3 linked regions of the Lepisosteus oculatus genome follow. The protein of the gene in region 1 interacts with the protein of each later gene in a pairwise test. Links are inferred from orthologs where the notes say so. Each region holds a gene or a part of one and is shown in the gene's direction. Other genes may lie near its edges.

The links.
Region 2: the proteins of disabled homolog 1 (region 1) and clasrp interact in a two-hybrid assay, tested with the Homo sapiens proteins (2 studies listed by BioGRID and IntAct). The link is inferred for Lepisosteus oculatus from reciprocal best matches to the Homo sapiens genes DAB1 and CLASRP.
Region 3: the proteins of disabled homolog 1 (region 1) and mbnl1 interact in binary tests that used the Homo sapiens proteins (3 or more experiments, as listed by UniProt). The link is inferred for Lepisosteus oculatus from reciprocal best matches to the Homo sapiens genes DAB1 and MBNL1.

Annotation. Positions count from the first base shown.
Region 1 is NC_090704.1:17,827,362-17,834,922, reverse strand, and holds the start of disabled homolog 1, read left to right. Parts: upstream 1-4,550; 5' UTR 4,551-4,823; intron 4,824-7,561. UniProt on the Homo sapiens protein: Signaling adapter of the reelin-mediated signaling pathway, which regulates the migration and differentiation of postmitotic neurons during brain development.
Region 2 is NC_090698.1:2,616,013-2,623,810, forward strand, and holds the start of clasrp (CLK4-associating serine/arginine rich protein), read left to right. Parts: upstream 1-4,779; 5' UTR 4,780-4,878; intron 4,879-5,495; 5' UTR 5,496-5,611; exon of another isoform or gene 5,612-5,651; intron 5,652-5,860; exon of another isoform or gene 5,861-6,072; intron 6,073-6,088; exon of another isoform or gene 6,089-6,193; intron 6,194-6,834; 5' UTR 6,835-6,923; coding exon 6,924-7,022; intron 7,023-7,643; coding exon 7,644-7,741; intron 7,742-7,798. Other genes in the region: protein jagged-1b, read left to right, coding at 596-945. UniProt on the Homo sapiens protein: Probably functions as an alternative splicing regulator. May regulate the mRNA splicing of genes such as CLK1. May act by regulating members of the CLK kinase family.
Region 3 is NC_090708.1:2,858,000-2,865,504, forward strand, and holds the start of mbnl1 (muscleblind-like protein 1), read left to right. Parts: upstream 1-4,486; 5' UTR 4,487-4,530; intron 4,531-7,505. UniProt on the Homo sapiens protein: Mediates pre-mRNA alternative splicing regulation. Acts either as activator or repressor of splicing on specific pre-mRNA targets. Inhibits cardiac troponin-T (TNNT2) pre-mRNA exon inclusion but induces insulin receptor (IR) pre-mRNA exon inclusion in muscle.

The DNA of each region.
Region 1 (7,561 bases):
CAATCCCTAATCTCAATATTTGGTAGAAGCATCTTTAGCAGCAACAACAGCCATGAGTCTTGTAGGTAAGTATCTTCCAATTTTGAAAACTGTCTTGGTCCAATTTTTGCCCATTTGTCTTGACAGATTTATTCAGGTTTTCTTAAGCTGCTATTAAGTTGTTTAGAGATTGCTTATGGACAGCAGTTTTTAAGTCTGCACAGATTTTCAGTAGGATTCAAGTCAAGACTTTAATTGAGGCACTCAAGAACATTCATTTTCTTTTTCTTAAGACACTCTAGTATAGCCGTGCTGTAGATCATTGTCTTGCTGAAAGGTGAATTTCCATCAGAGTTTTAAGTATTTAGCCAACTGAAACATGTTTTCCTTTAGTATTTGCCTGTACTTTACTCCAACCATTTTTTCTTCAATCCTAACAAGCTTTCAAGTCCCTACAGAAGTTAATCATGTCATTAACATGATAATACCACCATCATATTTGACTGTAGGAATGGTGTTTACTAGGAGATGTGTTGTGTTGTTGATACTTGATATTTATTTATTTCACAAAAAGTTCCAATCTGGTCTCATCTGACCACAGCACCTTTTACTACTGTTCTTTTTGCAGGATCTTGCAGGTTCTTTGTTGCAAAACTATAGAATTTAGCTGTCAGGTTTGCTCTCACTGGAACGAGAGCTAGATGAGTGATTTAGAGTTTGCCATGGGAGTCGGCCACACTTCCACTCACCTGTCACTCAGTGCCGGTTACCAAGGAAACACATTCCAACAAGAACCTCTATCACCATGGGGCAAATTGCATCCAGACCCACATCAAGTGGTGCAGAATATTTAAGGTCTGCTTGGACAGTACTCACGGCTCTGGTATAGAGTTTAGCTCTGACCTCAGCTTTGTTTCCTCGCTCTGTTCCTGAGTTACTTTGTGTTTATTATTTTCCTGGATTCTTGACTCTAGCTTCAACCTGATCAATTCTGTGGATTTGTCCCTTTGTGCTTCTGTGATTTCCAGTGCTATGAACTATGCCTGCTTGTCTCAATTATGATTGTGGAATTCCATTTATGCTTTCACTGTCTCTCTAGCTTTGTACCATTTACAATCTGACCACAGTGTAATTGTCCGCACCATATTTGCCTGCACTTCTCCTTATGCACTTTTCTCTCTTTCGCCCAGTGCATGGGTTCATCTTACGTCTCTCACAGCTGCTGGTTAATTCCACCTTAAGCAGTGGACATGACAAGTATATCAGAGCCCTGAGTAATGTCTGACCTTGGATATTCTGCATCACCTGATGCAGATGTGGATTTAAATTGCCCACAGGTGATACAAGTTGCCTGTCAGAATCTGTTTCTGTTGTTACCAGTACTGAGTGACAGGTGAGTGGAAGTTTGGCCGACCACCGTCTCAAACTCTAGATCACTCCACAGTGTTCCAGTGAAAGCAAGCATATTTTCTCCCATTTCAGCTATTGATTTCTGTAGTTCTTTCAAAGCTGTCATTGGTAGTGTTGTGCTATCACAGTGGTTTGCCTAACCTAATTCCACTGTGCTCAGCTACTTAGTTTAGAGGGAAAGCCTGATCAATTCAGTATCTAAGTGGTAAAAGGTACTGTCAGTTTCTCAGTGGCTGAGTAGACTTTTCTCAGAGGGATATTCAGAGACTTCTATATTTCTGTACCCTTTACTGTGTTTTACAAAAACTTTATCCCTGACTTGCTTTAAAAACTCTTTAGTCTCCATGGTTGAGTCTTTGCTTTAAATTCACTACCTAACCAAGAATCTTCACAGAGCCTGATGTTTTTATTCTGAAATTATGAGTTATGTGCAAACATTATCATACACGTCAGATGTCACTCAACTAAATATGCTCTTTAATTTGGTTACAAATTAATTTAGGTTTGACACAACAATGATTTGTATTCTAATGCAGTTATGGCTTTTTCTATTTCTCTTTCGTATTAATTAGATATTTTATTTCTCTCTGTCATGACGACGTCCTTCGGCTAGAGATTGCCCTGGAAAACCATCATATTCTAACAAGGGCTCATGGTTTTCCAGGGGTTTGTTGCTCTGACCAGATCATGTTTTTGTGATCCGTGTTAATTAGCTCATTATTCAATTCCCACTTTTTTATATAAAGCCAAGGGGCTGCTCTTCATTTTTCCACATGCACGTTCTCTTGCACTTCTGTCTCACCCCACATTTGTGTCTTGACTGCACTTACAGTATGTTGGTGCCTCATGAACGTCCTGAAGTCTGTTTTTCTTTTTTTTAGGGCTCTTGACACAATGAGGTGACCCCTCAAACAATAATTATTTCCTGCCTCGTATATGACTACACCACCTAGCAATACAAACAGGAGGCTAGGACCGCTCTACTAAACCAGAGGTTCTATTCATATCCCAGAATCACCAATGCACACACAAACCAGCAACAAACATTAGTATCATATAAGTTCCCTTTTTATTTTCTAAGCACAACAACATTTACTATTACTCCAAGACCCAAAGAAAACAGCATTCTCAGCAACAAAAAGGTACTTCCAAGCATCATAATGATTTCCTGAGTGTCTGCTGTCCTTTCAGATGATGAGGAGAGGGTGTTAGAAGGTCTAAATGGTACAGAGAAGTACAGCAACACATAGAAGAGGGATGCCACACAGTCCAATTTCCCCAGTATACATCTGGGCTATATCGGGAGTCCTCCTGTAGGCTGTAGTTCCCCTTTGTTCATTAACTACTCACCAGACAGGTTTCTTTGCTCCTTTCTCTCAAGTATTAAAATGTCTCTACACAGTACCTCCATTCCTCTGCTTAGAGCTGCCTCTGTTCAAGCTCAGAACTTTGTATCCCTTCTGTTTGCCATCTCCCTCCCCCACCCCCGGCCTCAAGTCGGCCCTTCTATCTGTCCAGCTCCTTTCCAAGGAAGCTCACAATTACCCTGCATCACCTGAGGCGGTAGTCTCTATTCTAGCCAGTACCTTTTAACTTCACTTTTTCTTTTCACTGCTCATCACCTCAACCCTCAAATTTTCCGATCTGCACCCCTGGCCTTTGAGGGCTGCCTTCTAAGCCAGTTCAGTTCCTTTTCAGGGATCCAGTATTGGGGTCCCTTCCATACCCAAGACTCCCTCCAAAGGGCTTTAATCAGTAGCCTTTCTTTTCAGCAGGGATGTGGTTAGCCTGGCTTCTCCTAGGATCGATGATTTCTTCCATTACTAACTGACCTGGGCTGATTAGCCCCATTGGCCAGTAATTAATTCTCATTATCATCTTTTACTTTTCAGTCTCCGGTCTCCTGTACTTGGGTTCTGACAAATCACCACCCATGCAGCTGTATCCAGCTACTGCATTACATGCTCTTTTAATTTTTGGTTTGAAATTGTGGAGTGTGTTAAGTATACAACAAATATTAAGAACTTCTAAAAGTAACTTGACTGCAAGTTTAAAGGTAATAAATTTTAGACTGAACAAGGGCCTGAATATTTTGTTGACACACTGTAGTTTGAAGTAATGATGGTTTTGATTTTGAAGTTCTTCACTGGAAAGTAAAAATTTGTCACACCAGGTCTATGAAACTGGTTGGACACCTTCAAATGTCATATCTAAACTTTTCTGTTGGCAATGTCAAGTGTTTATTTAGAGACACTCTTGTAAACAATCAGTAATGTGAAGCAAAGGACTTTCCATGGAGTGATCTTTCTACTGTCTTTTTACAAAGCACATGTGAACACTGTTACTGTAACAAAGTTCGTGCCAGAGGTGATGAGCAAGGAATTAAAGGATCTGACATGTTATATGTAAGATACCATACCCCCCAATATCCGCAGAACTAATGTAAAAAAAAATCACACCTCTGATTATATGCCAACTAATGTATTAACATGGTTATTTCTTATGTAACACAATAAACCTCTATGAGCATTTGCTCTCTGAATGTTCTAGCAGTCATCCTGCATACCTATTTGAACCATTGCATTGCAAAAAATATTATTGGCAGGTATTCGAAGACCTAACTTGTGGCAAGATGTTTGAATCATAATTGCTTATGCTGATTATGTAAATAGATTCCCAGTGATATAAACCAAATGGTCACTCCTGCTTGAGTTATTAATGCTGCATTATGCAAACTGAATTTAATGTAACAATTGCACGGTGCTGTCTACCATATTTACTTGATGGTCCAGAATGATTTTCTTCTCTAAATACACATTTGAGGGTGAATTAATGAGTAGGGAAAGAAAGAAAACGATATGATATACATGCATTATGCTCTAAATACATTACAGGAATGTGTGGTATTCTATGGATTATATATTATATATTTATTCCTTTTTAACAATGCAGTTCTGATGGGGCTGTTTAGTTGAGTGCTTAGCAGGAGACTGATAAGGACGTACTGCCTCTGGAAATCAATTCATCCATGCCTTACTCCTCCTTAAGCCTGTGAAAATCCTCATTGCCAAGGATACCGGGGAAGGAGGGGTGGAGGGTATGGGAGAGAGGGGAGGGGTGGAGGGATCTGCTATTAGGAGGAATGTGGTAGTGATGTATAAGGTATGAACGATGTGGCCTGCAGATTGCTGCTGCCGCTATTGCTGTGACTGTAGGTGTTTGCTGAAGCTGGATTGGAGCTGCTGAGGATTTTTCCTACTCGGATACCACTTTGCAAGGCAGGCTTCCCAAAAAGAAGGGGGTCTACCTTCTCCAAACAGAAAGGCTTAGCCTCTGGAGTGGGACAAGTCAAAGGGAATAGGACTCTTCAGGTGGGAGTCACGCCAGAGGGAGTGAGGGGGTCTGTATGGGGGACAGCTGCACACCAGCTCAAGGTAAGAGAATTTGTCTATCACATTGCTTTTCATTGCATTGCAGGAGTGCAGGGAGGGAAACCCTGGGCGTTCCAGTCAGTAAAATGTCATTGAGAAGGCTATTGCAGGAGTACCTTGGAACACAGCTGCATTAGGCATCTGTCTCTGTGAGTGGTGATTTGTCCCACTTCAGCCTTATTAATTCCAAGTTTTTTGTGTTTGTGTTTTTTTAGAGGTTTATGTTATGGAATGGAAAATGCAATGGGTCTGCTTGGATACAGACAGTAGACAGTTTGTCATCAATTCCAGCTCTACTGCTGCTGTACTCCTCCTCTGTATGTGTAGTACTTCGGGATATGATCACATACAGGGGCATCAAAACCTTAGACTAGCTTCACTAAACTATAAAATGTACTTTAATTCATTTTCCTCATGTCTCTCATATCTTTATTAAATTGATTTTCTAATTCCATAAAGAGGATTAAGATAAATATTGAAGTACTACATTGATTATTCAAGACAAGCTCTCCATCAATAAAATTGCAGTCCATCTTGGTGTTTAAATATCAACCTTTACTGTATGTCAGTCTTTGTCTTATCAATCTCTCTACAGGTGTATGCATTTGCTTAATACACCCCTGTTACAAGTATCACAGATCTTGGATGTCTTTTTTCAGTTAGTGGCTAATAATAAGATCTAAATGGAGTTTAAAGGGGTGAAACGCCCTAAGTATGTATGTATTTGTACAAGGATAAATGCAAAAGATTACAGTTCTTTTCCATTGAGGCAAACAGCTCAAAAGGAATTCTGTGTGAGATGGAATCAAAATGCAAATAGTTATTCCTGTAAAAGTTTAACTCTTATTTCTGAAAGAGCACATTTAAAAGGGGCTTGTCATTATATTGTACCTGCTGTGAAGCTTTAGTTCAATCCTGAAGTGTGACAGCACTGTCTGTGCCCCATTTTTGCATGTGTGTCTGTGTCAGTCAGCAAAGGGCTGTAAGGAAAGTAATATAACTGGAGTACGTGCTCTAGACCAGTTCTTTGGCTAAACTGCCAGTCATAGTATGTCCTTTAAACTTGCTGTGTGTTAAAATTATCCTCTTTTTCTACCTCACTGATTGTACAAGGAATTAGACGACATTCTACATAAGCATATGTACTGTATTACTGATTGAAAAACAATGGAGAAGAGGAAGTCAAAGAGGAAGTCAAACAGACTACAGCTTTTAAGGGTTTGTCAGATTTTGTTTTATATATGTGCCTTACTACTGCAGACATCCTCTTTAGGTTTTACAACTTGGGTCACTTGTATTTTTCAGAGAGACAGTACACTGCTGATTTTTGGAATTATTTGAAGTGGAACTGCAGTGTGCTGTGTTTTGCAAGTGCCTTTGGTGCTGCTATTATGCATCAGCTGTCTGAAATATTGCTCAACTGCCTGCAATTCAAAAGACACATAAGGGACGCATTGTACTACATCACAATGGAAATTGCAAGAAATATTCACAGCCCAAAATAAATATGATACATGTACTGTACTTCTCTCCCTTGTTTAATGATTTGGAATATTTCACTTCTAAAACTGAATGCATGTACAGTATATGTAGTGGCCTGACTGTTTTTATACAACAACAAAAATTCTTAAGCTAAGATATACCTGTATAATCGGTGTGAAATATGGTTAGGTCACTCAGTTTTACTGACATTATTACTATTAAAATATGATAAAATCCTGCATATAACGCCTTCTTTTTTATTGATTTATTTCTATTTTCACTACTGCACTTCATTCCTTTGTATGGCAGCCTTCAAGCTGGTTTACGTTTTGCAAGGCAACATACAGTAGTTCAGAAGCATTATTTATATATTTATTTTTCTATTAATGTGCTAATTTAGATGTGTATTCTGAATACAGATCAGCAGCTGATGTTTAGTGACTGAACCACATTTACGACAGAGGCTGATACTAATATACTAAAAAGTGAATTACCTGATTCATGCTGAAAAATACAATGTTTAGCTGTTGATGTAATGCATGTCCATTACATTGGAACAGATTGAGATGTTCTGCAAAAATATACTGTTGTATTAGTTAAGGATTAAAATTAAAATTAATTCATCATATATATATATATTTCCAGTAGAGAAAACTCTACAGGAAATCCCTTAGTAATTCAACGGTTCTTTAGTACGTTGAATCTTTATCAGATAGATGCTCACAGAAAGCATTTCTTTATGTTGGTATTACATGTAATCACTGTGAATGGTATATTAGAGAGCACTCAATCCAGTTCTTGTGTTTTGGTATAGGTTATGTATTTTTGTATATTAAAGAAAATCATTAACTTTTCATCAATTTTTCATTTTTGTTTAATTAAATTGAGGTATTGTCTTAAGAAATGAAAACAAAGCTTTTTAAAATTAGTCTATTTGCACTTTATCTCATACAATATCTGGATTACTCTCATTTATACACATGTATTTGAACAGTAGACAACAAAAAATATAGTTAAACACACTGTTCACTTCCTAACACCTGTTATTCATGGAAAATGATTAAATGTCTTTGTCAACTGAAGATTGTTGTTTAATGTCCACTGAAATTATATGGCTGTCACGCCTTCAACGTCCAGAGGACACCTACTCTGTCCTGTTCCTAGTTTCCCTGTGCTTTTCTTGTCCTTCCAGTGTGTCCTTGTGTGGGGCTATATATTTCCGAGTCACCCTTTGCTCTTCGCTTAGCATTGAGGGTTCA
Region 2 (7,798 bases), on another chromosome or scaffold:
TATCGCCTGTGTGTGTTGATTGTGCGTATCGGCCTGTGTGTGTTGATTGTGTGTGCATCGGCCTGCGTGTGTTAGCTGTGTGTGTATCGCCTGTGTGTGTTGATTGTGCGTATCGGCCTGTGTGTGTTGATTGTGTGTGCATCGGCCTGTGTGTGTTAGCTGTGTGTGTATCGCCTGTGTGTGTTAATAGTGTGTGTGTATCGGCCTGTGTGTGTTAGTTGTGTGTGTGTATCACCTGTGTGCGTTAATTGTGTGTATATTGGCCTGTGTGTGTTGATTGTGTGTGCATCGGCCTGCGTGTGTTAGCTGTGTGTGTATCGCCTGTGTGTGTTGATTGTGCGTATCGGCCTGTGTGTGTTGATTGTGTGTGCATCGGCCTGCGTGTGTTAGCTGTGTGTGTATCGCCTGTGTGTGTTAATAGTGTGTGTGTATCACCTGTGTGCGTTAATTGTGTGTATATTGGCCTGTGGGTGTTGGTTGTGTGTATCGGCCTGTGTGGGTGTCACCTCTGTCTCTGTGTGGGAGTCTGGCTGTGGGCACCGGGGGTTGTGTGTGCCTGTGCCTGACGGTGCTCTCTGCGCCTCTGCCGTGCCAGGCTCCGGGAGCACTCTGTACGTGGTGATGGTCGTCCTGCTGGCCATGTTGGTAGTGGGAACGACGCTGTGCATCTACCTGCTGGCTCAGCTCCGGAGGCGCAGGAAGGAGCGCCAGCACGCCGGGCAGGACGAGGGCATCAATAACCAGCGGGAGTGCGTCACCCTCATCCGGAACCTGGGCGGCCCTCCCCCAGTGCCCCGCTGTCGTGAGGAGATTGAGCTGAGCCTGCCGCCCACCCCAGAAACCAAGAAGCCCAGGAGGAGCAGCGCCAAGCTCGACATCTCCAACCGGGAGCGCGAGAAACTCAACCGCTTCCACTTCTCCGACAGCCAGGAGGTGGAAGTGTGAGGCCCGCCCCGCCTGTCGGCTTCTGTCCGTCTGCCACTGCGGCCACCCGTGCTCCCAGGCTTTGCAGGCCTTGCTAGGCCCCCGAGGGAAGGGAGTGAAGGGTTTGGCTGCTGAGGAGGCTGGAGATCGTGAGCCTTGATTGCCCAAGAGGGGGCGAACTGCTGCACAGCTCTGTTGACTCCCACACCTCAACCCTTGTGGCATTTTCCCCCTGAGTTGGAACTCTTGACATAAGCCTGAGAGCCTGAGAGCCTGAGAGAAGAAGGCCTCTCTTTGGCGTGTCTGGGTATCGGTGCACCTGCTCTGCCCTGTTGCCACTATGAAGGTTCCTTCCTTTTGATGGAGGCAGTGATGTGAGGGTCAGCATTGAACTTCTCATTCCAGCTGTTAAACTAATCGCATTTCCTTTATTGGAAGAATAAAGTATTGTGTTGTTTTTTTTTTGTTTGTTTCTCATGTCAATGAAGGCAATATTGTGTATATGTGTGTGTTTTGACAGGTCCTTTAACGATAGAGCTGCACCTGGTGTTCGTATAAAAGCTTCTGAGCAGCTGTTGCGTGGGTAGAGAAATCTATACAGTACATCCAGCAATGTTATCAGTAAATCTGATTCATACTCTGCTTGTTAAATGTCTTGTTCAATGTGTTTTGCCTTCTGGAGAGAATGTGCAAAGCTAGAGAAAGTCCTGTGGGGACATAGTTCAGTGCTGCGCAGACCTGAGTCAGAAGTGTCTTGACATTGCAGTGCAACTCCTATATGTGTCCCTCCTATACCCTTTACACAGCTAAAGAGCACTCTCTACTTCACATGTGTGTAATCCGTTTGAATTTTAATTTACAAATAAGTCAAAAGCGTGAGAACGAAATATTTCGGCCACTTTTGTTAGATATGGTTTTGCAATAGACATCCACCAGATCAAACTACAGCCTAGGCCAAACACGACTCCACTGTGCCAGACCAGTTGCCCTCCACCAATCCTGCTGAGCACAGGTGGGCTCTCCATAACCCCTTCCCTGCTCTGTATCTCTGTACACCCACTTTCACCAGACCCCTGGAGGTTCTGAACCAGAACTGGGCTATGGTCCCACTGAACAGGGCCTGTGACCCCGCCTGAGAGAAGAGGAAGTGACGGGGGGTGCAGTGGGGACCCCAACATTAACAAAGTGCAGCTTCCAGATTGCGTTACTGATCGGGGGTCTTAAGAGCTCATTGCATCGGGGCATGAGTTACATTTCTGTAGTGTCGGAAAGACAGGCTGGAGGACAGACCTCTTGACCACAGCTGGACAGTACACACTGGCCAGTTTGACTGACCCCTTCCCTGAGAGGCTGTGGGGTGGAGAACGGGGAGGTGATTTAGTCCTGTCTGATGGAGGTTTTCTGCGATTGTTCCTCAGCTCTGTTTCTCAAGGAGCCACAGTCCCTGAGGGGTTAAGAATATGAGGTTGGTCACAAACAGGAGGAGCCACTCAGCTCATCCAGCCTGTTTGGAAGTTAGTAGCTAACCTGAGGATCTTATCCAGCAGTTCCTTGAAGGAAGCCAGGGTAGCGTCTATGTCAGTGGCTGGAAGCTTGTTCCACACTCCCACAATTCGTAAAGAAGCGCCTGCTGTTTTCGGTTTCAAATCCAGGTCCACATAGGCTCCACTTGTGTCTTCTGGTCTGTGTTTCAGTGGTTTGCTATTTCTCTTTAGGCCTGGGGATAAGCGCTCAGTTAAGTGAAAAATTAGTGGTTCAATTAACTAATTATCTGCTCAGATGGAATGACAACCTGAGGACCCCATTGCCCTTGGGAAAATGCCCTTAGGAGCTGAAGACAATGGCAAAAAGCAACCTAGAAAGGTTACTAATAAGGGAAAATAATCTAGCTCATCCAGCTCGTTTGGTAGTTAGTAGATGACAAAAGGATATTGTCCCCTTTGAGGCGGCACGTTCATGCTTGTAAAAGATGTATGATTTTTGTACTTGTCTGTAAATAGTTCAGCTGTATATAGTGTACATATTTATATTTTGTCTTTTATTGACCATTTTTGTACCGTGAAATCTTTGAGAGTTTTTGGTTCATCTCTGCCCTTTTTCCTTGTGTCTCTCGTGATGGCCAACCGGTGCGAACAGTAATTAAAACTTGTTTAACACCAAGAGTGCAGCCTGTGTCTGTGTGTGCTGGGACCCCGACAGGCCACCCCAGGGGGGCATCTCCCCAACCCCATGCTGACAGAGCGAGAGAGACTCCAGGCTGCTGCTGTGAACTACGGGGAACCACAGTGGAGAGCCCTGGACCCTGGCCAGGGTTAACTACAAGGAAGATGGAAAAAGCAGGTGGCGGGGCACCAGCCACAGACAAGCTTTTCCTAAGCAGCACCAGTTCAATCTGCTTCTGGGCCTTACTAATTGAAGTGCTTGTACTGACTCACTTAAATCCTTGTTTATGCTTTGTCTTCTGCCAAGCATCCCTTGTACTGCCAGAAGGAAATAAAAAGCACTTGTTTTTTTGGCGGTTACACCTACAAAGGCCTGTATCACTACATATATTATTTTTGGAGAACTCTTTCTTCACTAAAACAACTTAACCATGGGGGGACAGGTCTTACTGCTGTTTCCTGTGGTTCGTCCTGCTAAAAACTGTTCAGTAAAGCTCAGTGAAGCACGAGGGGGTGTACTAAGGCGCAATGTTTCCAAAGAATTTGCTCCCTAAGACCTCTACAGATGAGTCATTAAGTCATGGTATAGTTTGTAAGGGAGTTTCTACAATGACCCCTGCCCTTGCTGGCAGTGCCTGGGGTCCAGGTGACGTGGGCAGCGAGGGGTTTCCCTGCCGACCAGGAAAGGTGATGAGCGAACTTCCTCTCTCCGCCCGTCCTGAGGGAGGTGCAGGAAGCGTCTGCCTGCAGATGCCTGCCAGGAGTCCGAGTCACGTCCTCGCAGGCCCTCAGATGAACCTGCTCTGGACAGGGGCTCCAGAAACACCTGCTGCTCTCGCTGCAGAGAGCGAGGGGCCAGACCAGGCGGCAGCTGATTCACCCTGCAGCTCACAGCCAGCAGCCCACTGGAGCTCAGCAGGTGTGAGCCTGGTCAGTACCTGGAGGGGACTGACTCCCGAGGAAAGCTAAGGCTGCTGCTGCAAGAAGTGTTAGTAGGGCCAGCAGGGGGCGCTCATCCTGCAGTCTGTGTGGGTCCTAATGCCCCAGTATAGCAACGGGGACACTAGACTGTAAAAAGGCGCCATGAGATGTAAAAGCATGGTCCTAACTTCCTGTGGTCATTAAAAATCCCAGGGCGTTTCTCGAAAAGAGTAGGGGTGTTATCCTGGCATCTTGGCCAAATTTCCCCCTGGCATTTACCAGTCATGGCCTCCTAATAATCCCCATCTCTGAACTGGCATCATCACTCTGCTCTCCTCCCCACTGAGAGCTGGTGTGTGGGGAGCGGACTGGTGCATCATCCAAGTGGGGCTGCACACTGATAAAGAGGAGTCCCCATTACCTGTAAAGTGCTTTGACTGGAGGCTATAGAAGTGTAAAGAATTTGTTATTATTAAATCCACGCAGAGCAGGCGGGGGGGTACAGCAGTGCCTGAAGTGTGCTGGTACTCTCTCCTCACTTGCTTCAAATTCCAGACCAGCACCCCTGTATTGCAAATGGGGGTGCTGTGCCACAGGAGGGGCCGCACTTCACATGGGCTGTTGACCCAAGGCCCTGCCCACACTGGGGACATTTGAAGGTCCTACGGCTGGGATTGCTCAAGAGTGAGCGTGAATTTCAGAACAGCCCTGATTCCGGTGTGCTGCCTGGAATGTGACCAGTTGGACTCTGCAGAAGGCGAACCGTCTGATACGCTGTCGTTCCAACCTTCGTACAGGCCGGTATCCTGAAGCTGCTGGGAAAAGTACACTTGAAGTTTGGTGTATTTGGCCCTCAGGACTGACCGAAGAAGTAAGTTAAAAATCTAAACAACGAAGCAGATCGGTTAAGTCATCGGTTAGAGCTGGTGCTCAGGTGGGACGGGCACCAGCTGACGCTGCGCTCCTGCAAAGCCAGGGGTGTTAAAACTTCCCCACAGACCGAGGGCTGGAACCGTAGCTTAGAACACGCCCGTCAATTCTGCCACAGCGAAAGAGAAAATACCGCTAAGAAAATAAAGAGACACAAAAACAGAAGGCGTAGCCCAGGAGACTGTCGTGTCTTGTCCCGTGAGTAGTTCAAGTAGGGAGCTGCGTCAGCATGTGTTGGCTGCAAGGGAACAAGTAAAGGTTTATTCCATGCTGGAAAGGGAAGAAAAGAAACAACGTTTAGAGAAAGTCCATCCTCTTTCTCACACCTCCACGGCCGAAACGTTGTGTTTCTTGTCTCCTCTTTTCAGCATGGAATAAACTTCGTGTCCCATAATCCGACTTTGTCGTGTTGTTCCGGAGTTCAGTACTGTTTCCTGCTGCAAACACGCAGTGCTGGAGAATACAGAACTACATCTAACTGAAGCTTCGGGTTAAATAGTATTAAAGAAGACAAAAGGGGAAAGAGAAATAATATATCATAACGGATTGTTTACACAGATTCTTCCAATACATTTTCGTTCGAGAGCCTGCACCGCCGCCTGCTGGAGCTCGGGTTGTACGAGCTCGCTTCCGCGTCCAGCTTCGCAACGAAACAGCCTGACACGTGGCTGCGGGTGTGCGTGATTCCGTGATTTACTATCCGTGTGGCCACAGGTATGTGATGCATAACGTCATGTTCTCCTTAGAGTGCACAATAATATCCGAAATGGACCAGTTTGGTGTCATTTGGAGGCAGGGTAAAATATTAACGAGCTCCGCAGTTCTGTTCAAATACACCAAAAATATTAAAACCACAACTCCCGTTCACCCTTTCCTCCACTTCCGCTCTCATTGCTCTTTGACCTCGGAAGTGGTTGCCGGGATACCGGAGGACTGTGTGTTGTGATGGCCTCCCGATCGGAGTTCGGGTGCAGTTACGGCTGTTCGACGTGTTTATATATTTAATTGCACTCTGTAAATCTTACACCAAAGAATATCCGGTGGTAAAAATCGAAAGACCCGAAATATCTTACAGACAAGCATAACCAAAATCCTTTCAAGGAACATAGACGTTGGAGGAAGAAGACTACATTTCGTACGTGTGCAGGCGCCATTGGGATCCGGGGTCGCAGCTGTTATTTATTCCACAAAAACAGATAAACAGTTGGGGAATTGTAATATTTATCGCCGCATTCCTTAAATTACTTCTGTTCGAAGTGAGTAAATGTTATTAGGGCAAGAATTCGAAGCAGGCGTTTCTAATCATGCCATTTTTAAGCAAAAGCAGTAGATGAGATTGCATATCAGGGAGGGACAGGAGCGATTAGGAGAGTCCCTTGCGCGGGGGCTGTGTTGGATGTGTCGCTGCTTCGTTCGTGTGTTTTGCCAGGGATTAGACGGGAACCCCCATGAGAAGGGAGAGAGGCGAGCAGTATGAGGAGTGTCGCGGACACATTCCTCCGGGTGCGGCCGCCATTGTAGGCAGCTGTATTCCCCAGGGGAAACCGCTCAGCCCCCGAGAAGCCGTGAGCAAGGCTGAGCGGGCGGCTGGAGAGCGGTGAAGAGCAAGCAGCCCTTAAAAAGTGATAGCGGTCACATGGGCAGCCACCAGCTCCGCCCTGCTACAACCTTTTAAGGAACCGGTAAACTCTTATTGCCGGAAGCCTACATTTGTGAGAACAGGAGGTTGATTTCAGGACCTGGACAAGGCCCTGTGGCTCCTGGGCCGAGGGCAGATGAATACCCCCTGCTCCCGGCCAGCTGTCTTGCAGTGGCCCCAGGGGCAGAGCCCAGAACACCTTGGCCCTCAGCAGACTGTGCCTCCTTTTCACCCCCAGCATCCTTTCTCCCTGTGCAGGTGTGTTGTGGGATTCCTGCTGCCCTCGGACTGCCTCTCCGGCTCCTCCCGTCTCCACGGCAGCAGGGCTTGGCCGCCCCGGCGCCAGGATGTGGCACGAAGCCCGCAAGCATGAGCGCAAGCTGCGCGGCATGATGGTGGATTACAAGCGGCGGGCGGAGCGGCGGCGCGAGTACTACGAGAAAATCGTGAGCGAGCCGTCGGCGTGCCCGAGGAGCGGGGCCTTGGCCCGCGGCCCCCAGGAGCCGCCCTGTGGGCGGCCAGCTGCCCCTGCCCGGTCGCGGCTGGCGCTCGCCCTGCCCCTGCCCGAGGCGCTGGTGTTTTCCACCTGGTCTTCTCAGGGGCTTTCATTCAGAAAACAACCAGACAAATGTTTGATTAAGCAACATGTTGGGTAGTTTATGCAGAACAGGGATAGATTGATGATAAATGATTAATTAACCACATGGGAGTGATGTAATCTGACTCGTCTGAAGGCACTGGCGGGGGTGCAGTAATGCCCGGCAGGTAGTACTGTTGTACACTTAGCTTGGTGGTGGTGGAGGGGATCCCCATTACCTGTAAAGCGCTTTGAGTGGAGTGTCCAGAAAAAGCGCTATATAAGTGTGAGCAATTATTATTATTATTATTATTATTATTATTATTATTATTAACGGGAACATTACTGTGTAAAAAAAAAATGGATTTCAGGAACATTCAAAAGCAGGAACTTTTTTTCCCTTAAGCCCCTAGTTTCCACTTGTCCCTTGGGGAGTTGTTTGGCAGTGTTATACTCTACTGTGAGAGTTACCGGAGTCTTGTGATTTCAGAAAAAGGACCCGGCCCAGTTCCTGCAGGTCCATGGGAGAGCGTACAAGATCCACTTGGACTCTGCTGTGGCTCTGGCTGCCGAGAGTCCAGTGAACATGTGAGTACTTCTCTGCTCCTGTTTGCCTTAGGCCACAATAGTTCCCTGTAGCCACAC
Region 3 (7,505 bases), on another chromosome or scaffold:
TAATATTAAATCCAAATTTAAGTGGATGGCTGCCTTCATTGAGCCCTTGTAAACAAGGGTCTATTTTAGTGCAGTCTTTGTGTCTCTTGAATGAGAAATGCAGAGGCTAGTTTCAGGAGAGCCTGTTGCTGTAGAGGGTAACTCAGAGCTTACAGGTACGTGAACAATTTAGCACAGAATACAGATGGACCTTGGCACAAAATGAAGCACATTAATATGTGTGAGCTTTGTGGCTCTGGGGCTATGACTCTGCACTCTGGAAGGTTGCTGGTTCGTATCCCGCGGCCGGCAGAGGAATCCTTCTCTGTTGGGCCCCTGAGCAAGGCCCTTCACCCCAACTGCTGCAGGGGTGCTGTATAAATGGCTGACCCTGCGCTCTGACCCCCAGCTTCTCTCCCTGTCTGTGTGTCTCTATTGTCTCTTATTATGTGTCAGTAAAGTGATATTATCTTATCTGATTGTAATAATGCTAAAAAGACTTTGCTTATTAATAGTGTTTCTAGCAATATTAGCTACCGTGATTTAATATATTCATAGATAATCAAATGTCTGGGTTTTAACCCTTATGAAATTATAGTTGGGTTGTTGCATATACTGTTTTTTATCTTAATGTACAATGCAATACCTTAATAATTCTGTCATAACTTTAAAACTGTTTTCTGTCATTTTGTCATTCTGCTATTTAATTGTAAGGTTTTAAGTAGCTGTTAAGTAGCTTGAATCTGCTGGGCTTAGGGAATGAATGCTTCAAGAAAATGAAGACAGAAAATTGCAGTCCACCTTCTTGTGGGACTGTTCGGTGGTATAATGAGTGTGCCACTCACTGGGAGATGCCTGATAGGTGTGGACAGTTTCTGGTCACCATGAGGTGGAACTCATACCTTGAAGTTAAGTTATTCAGACGTTATGACAACCTGATCGCACCTGTGAGGCGAGGTCAGCAGATCTGGGGTGTTTCAGCCCTCTGCAGGACTGAGGCTGGTTTGCGTTGCTGAGCATCTGCAAAGCATTACTGCCAGCTTGATGGATTGTTCATCCAAAAAGCCAGGTTTGATCTGACTGCAGACCATATGTACTGTACCTGTGTGTTTCTGTCCAAGGGAAGAGCTTCTTGAGGGAATCCTGGATTTGTCAGGGATGTTTTCTTCACTGTTTAAATATCTCTGTGTTGCTTTTCCTTTTTTTTAAAAAAAAATATTACTTGAATCGCAAACAATGGTTAATCCATATACCTCTATAGCTGTACTCTTAACCATTTATATGATGAGTAAATATCAGATCAAATAATAATAAACTAAGGCACATACAGTACGGTACAGTAGATATGTGGTTGTTGTGTTAATGCTCATTCATCTAAATGTTTGCATTACAGCGAGTTTGACTTCTCGTACTGCACTGGGAAACTGTTAGTACTGTCAGTGTGTCAGTGGATATTTTCATTCTGCCTCCCCGCTCTGTTTCTATTAACATTTGTGGTTTTTAGGGTTTTCTCTTATTTGCTGTATATTTTTATATGTGCAATACATGTATTGTATATTTTGTAAGTTACTCTGGGTAAGGGCATCTGCTCAGGAAATAATGATGATAATAACATCTGCACTTAAAGACTGCTGCCTTACCTTTTTCAAGCTAAAGCCCTAATTTGATATGAATCGTATTACTCAAAGTAAAAAACTCAAAGTTACTCAAGTGTGAAGTTGCTTAGTCTAAACAAAAGAGTATTCATTTTAGAATTCTAGGCAGGTTGAACTACCTTAGATAGTTAAGGGTGATACTGTTGATTTCAGGTCATTCTGGCATCATGACCTTTCACGTTTGTGTGATATACAATCCAAATGCAATTCACTGGATATTTGAGTTGGAAAATACACTCATTAGAAAAGGGGACACATTGCTCATCAGGTGGATTAAAGTAGTTATAGTTTGCTGTAGTATATTCTTCTTTTATTGGTATTGTTTTCATGGACAACAGCTCTCAGAATTTACATCAATACCCTGTCTCAGTTGTTGGTATTGTCATGATCAGGAAACTTGTTTTCTTTTTGATCTGCATGAAGGTGTTAACTTAACAGGAAACTGCTTATATACAGTCAATTGTTATACTCTTCGTGCATGTAATTCAAATAAAAATACATTTACTGTCCTGATCCCAGATAATAAATACCATGAGATTCTTGTTGTTTGGACTAGGTATCCAAATAGAAAAAAAGGACTAACGTTAACATTAAACATTTTTATAGTAGGATAGTGCACATTTTAATGTTTTTCAGTTTTATCACAGGCTGTCTTCTGTCTGTATGATCCCAAATGCACTCAAACACATGTTACTCTGAAAACAGTCCCTAGAATAGGGGCACCCATGCTGGAGCTGCATCTCCGCTGATGAGTCTCGAACCCGTATTCGCACACGGGGGAGAATGAGGGAGTGCAGACACACTCCCCAACCCCACCAACTTCCTGCCACTCAAGTCTGATCACGTCACAGTCAGCGCTGCCCCCTGCAGGGGGAGAGGTGCGACTCTCACTGACTGCCAGGACTTGCACACTGCCTCCAGTGGAATCCCAGTCACAGTCAGCTTGTGACCATCGAACTCAACCTGCCCTCGGTCCTCTTTCTAAACTAATGCCTCATGTAATATTGTGTAATAATATACATACTGTAAGAGCCCAAAATTGCAAAAAGCATTATAATCTCTCTAATAGATTTCTAAATGAAACAAAGACATTTTTTCAGAACACTAAATTCACCACTCTCACACATGCATTGTGTGTAAAGCTCTAAATTAAATTTAAAAAGATCACAAAATTATAAAAGCATGCTCTAGGGTGAGGAAACTGTGGGGAACAGATGGTTGCCAAAGCTCAGCATGGACTCTTTTCTTTGTTGTGTCTTCATACCATGTAACTGCATTGTATTAAAAGAATGATCTTTTTTGCAGTGTTCTAACTTTTTTACTAACAAGATGCAGCCTGATTTTATACCTAAGTAGTATACTAAAATCTGGTGAAAACACATTTGAAAAAAAGAACATGCTCCTTTGCTAACCATGCCAAATACACTATTTATCTCTGCTTATTGTTTTGTGGCATATTTTAAAGATTGAAAAGTTAATACTAAGTGAGCCAAAAATACTTAAAGCTCTCTGCTCTCTTCTTGCCAAAATATCCAAAAAATAAATTAATAAATGCAAAATGTCACTAGGCAGTGATGCTTTGTCTCCCATTCTGGGCACTGAGTCTGTTGGAGCTCCATTGACTTTGTAATTGATGCTTGTCATCTTATTTCAAAAAGAGGCTGGGGAGATGTTTTCCTTGACAATCCAGGAGAAGTCATGGCCGAGGTCGTTTGTTTATTTTTAAGAGAATTGATTTCTAAATTTGTCTCAGATTTCTTGCTGGTATAGTAATTTGTAAGAATAAAGAGAAGAAAAAATTGGGGTACGTTAAAGGATGTTTTTCACTGTGATGTGTTTCTAAATCGAATCAGTTAATATATTATTAGATATTTAATTGATTTTTTTATTTTCTCCATTGCGGCAAATACTGTATATCAAGGAGCTCTAAGCTGGCCGGTCAGAAAAGTGATTCATCCCTCTAAGTTTGTTTAAGTAAGGGGAATGAAGATACAGAATTAATACAATAAGAATTTAAATCTACAATTCAGTCAGTCATGTTTGGGGAAAAAGGGGTAAACGTGTTTCAAAATAAAACAAAAAAATCACCACTTCACAATTTTAACACGACTGTAAAAAGAAATACTCCTAAGCACCGCAAGATGAAAATGCAAAATAAACTCCTTAGTGAATATATTTTTTCCAGGGATGCAAAATACCAAAGAGCTTTCTTTTAGTCTGAACTAAAGCCATGTACTGTATTTGACTTCCATCTCTCATTTCTTTGGGCTCATTTCTGCCAAATGAACTCTCTGCACAGCTTCAGGGAAGTGGGTTTTAATGTACAGTACCTTACCTCTGGCATGACAGCATTCACAGCCAGGCTGCCTAGAAAAGCCCTGAGTAGCTCCTCAAGTCAGGTTTGCTTATACTGTAGGTGTGTAACTATGACCTCTGCCCATGTGCACTTGATGACAGTGCACACTGTTTAGAAAATGTGGCATTTTTCAGATATATATATGCACATAGTATACAGTATATTAAAGACCTGTCTTTTGTTTATTGCAGAGTGATAGAGCTTTTTATAGTATTAGTTTCAGGTCTGAAACTAAACAGTGAGGGGTTGAAAAATCCCAGCCCTTTTACAAAGCCATCTTGCTTTGCATAGGGGACAGTCTCTCATTTATCATTTATTATTGTGTTCTTCTTAAACCGCGATCAGGGAGTAAATACAGCTCAGCCGTCTTGCTGGAAGCCCAGAGCAGTCCGTTAAATGTCTGCCTTTGAGCCAGGAGAGTTGAGAAAGCCTTAAAAGGGAAGGAATATAATTTCAGTTCCTGGCATCCACAAAGGAAATGCTAAAACAGGCCTGGTTTTGCCAGATCGCACAGAGAGAGAGCTGTTGAGACGGTGTCAAGTAAGTTTTTTTTTTTGCATTCGAAATTAATATTTAATATTTAAAAGCATGAAACTTTAACGCTTCCTATAATAAATGGATGCTGAGTTTGGCTTCTCCCTGTTAAAGTATGAAGGCTGCATTTTCTGGCATATACTAATATCCTGCCATCGGGATGGTGTCGGCTGGGGAGAAGATTGTGTCGACCATAATGGAATGTTAGGACGGCCGATGTGGAAAGCACAGAGCAATTGGTTTTATTCCGACTGCGCTCAGTATTCATTTGAATGATAAAGACAGACGTTTTGGAGAGATTGCATACCTGACTCACCTTTTGTGTCAGTGTACACTGTTGACAGCTGCGTTTTTGCCTGTGTTTCCTAAAGATTGTGTTATTTTCAGTGTGCGCGCTGCGTGGCACAGTTCATAAATTGTCCACTTGCGTTAATGAAGAGCGAGTGGGAGCTGCCAAAGAAAAGAAGTCCAAGAGGCTTTTTTTCATTTTAAGTCTTTCTCTTTGAAGAGTTTAACAGCTGTAACACATTTTCCCCGATTTGTAATACGTTTTCCTTGGATTCTGAACTCTTTTCACATTTCGTCTATAGCATTTACTTGCTTTTTGTTCTGAGCAAGCTCAACATGTTGCGAGAGTTGTCAAAGTCTGGGATGCATTCTGGGCTTTGTCATAACTCCATGCATCGTCCCCTTTTTTCAGTTGTGCCTTTTATCTGTGTTTGATGAACTCTCCATATGATGCCTGGAGACAAATCAAGCAAGCGCATAAGTGATAGCTTACTGTTGAGCTCGCTGGCCCAGCTTGTTTTAATAATTTTACAGTCCCAAGTGCCAGTTCATTATTGAAAGAACACAGGGGCATATACAGATCGTAAGCTCCTTCGTTAGCTTTTCCCAAATGTAGGCCTCTTCAGCTTATAAATCTATTGGCCATTATTCTCAAATTTCCTTTTATAGGGCTGTAAAGCTATAAACACCACTATGGAGAGCCTTGAGAAGCTTCTTGGAAGCTGAGTGCAGTCACGTGAGGGAAAGGCTTGATCCACTGAAAAAATCAATGTGTTATTGTCACTGCATTTTATAAAAAAAAAACACTTATCAACTGGCACAAATAAATATGTCTTATAACTGGACTGAAAATGAACAGGTGCTCACGGGGAGCACCATACCTGTTGGACAAGGAGAAAGCCCTTTGGGTTCTTTTTCCCAGAGGAATGAAGTACTGGTTTTGAATTTGACAAGCCCTTCACTCCCACAGGTGTCCATGTTGTTATTCAGAACGTCCCAAATTTGAATTCTTTCCACTCTCTGGTAGCGTCAGTGGCTCCACATGACCCGGGGATGGGAGATGACATGGATGTCGGATTAGGAAAGAGAGCAGCCTCAGCTGAAATACAGTAGTGGCGTAACAGACACACACACACAGATAACAGGACAGCGGAAGTCAGGAAGGGTTTTCTGCTGCCCCATAAAGAAACAAGCAGCTGCAGTCCGGCATCATCAGTGCAGTGTGGCCTCTGCTTCTGTTTCTGCTCTGTCCTTCATTTCAACTGGTAGCCCCAGCTATTCCAAAACACAGAGATACTCAAATGGCAGTCAGAGATACAGTAGCAAGTACAGTGCATAGATTTGTGGTCCAGCTAGGCTGCAAAAAATTAAATACTTTTAAATAAGAAACTGAAATAGCCCCGGGTGATCATACCTAACAATGAATCAAAATAATCAAAAAAGATGATAAATGCCTAACTGAAGCATGATATACTGTAGTAATTAAGCTGAAATTATGTTACGATTGGATTTCCTACCTCATATATACAGAAATCCTATGAAGTGAATAATTTATAGTTTCTGCTCTTTTCATCCAACCCATTGGTAACTAATGAAGTTTGAATACAGTCAGTATGAAATGTAAATATAGCATTTTATGTAATTTATTAATAAATGGAAGGAATTAATATTTACCGGTGAATTAATAGGAGTCTGCAGCTAGAGTACCTTTAGTTCGGTTACAAAATCATTCAGTGAAAATCAATTTTATTTTTCTTTTCCTACTTTTATTTTCTAGTATAAAAATCAAATGGGCCTGCCCTCTGTTACCATTAAAAATAAGCTGGACAACTTTTGTTGACCAATGTCTATGTTGCAGAGGTGTTTGGGGTTATGATTATTTTTTCTTTCGTCTGTGTACCCTGTGGTAGTTTTTCAGACCTTGAATTAGCCTTCCAAGCTGCAGATTTCAGTTGAAACGTTGATTGAGACAGTGGACGAGGTGTGGGTTGCCAATCAAACACTGAAGTGTGGCCAGCAATGAAAATCCTTTTTGAAGCAGCAACCTGGAAGCGCCTGGCATGTTCCTCTGCCTTCACATTCTCGATGAATTAGTAGAGAGAACACATTCAGGCATTAACTTAGTGGATAAATAAGCAGCATGCATGACTGAGATGGTTTCCTAAACCTTGAGAAGTTATTATAAAATCATGGGGATGCTTCAGTGGTCTCCAGCTTTGCCAGTTTTCCAGGAAAGCAAAGACTGCTCACAGATAAATATTTCTATTGCTATGAAAAGAGAGTATTATCTTGATTTAGAGAATCTATTGCGATTGCAAACAGCAGTAAGTAGCAATAGATTCTACTTAACTGTGTTGTACCTTTTGAGTTTTTTTGTAACTTACTTGTTAAAATTTAAACTTCACTTTTTTCCTAGCTTTGTTGAAAACCATTATCACATAGTTAACATCTATTAAAACATTTAATGACTTCGCCATGTGCTGCATTCATGCTTGGATAGCTCCTACAATAAAGGATAAAGGAATCAGTTGCTCATGCTGTCATAACGAGACTGAAATTTAAAATGTTACTGATACTGAGAGGTCCCAAATTACTGCTTTAATGTGAATGCACAGGACTTGTTCTGAATGTAGGAGAATTCCAGGGGGGGGAATTGTTTTTGCAGCCCAGTGTGACTCATTATTTGTGAGCTT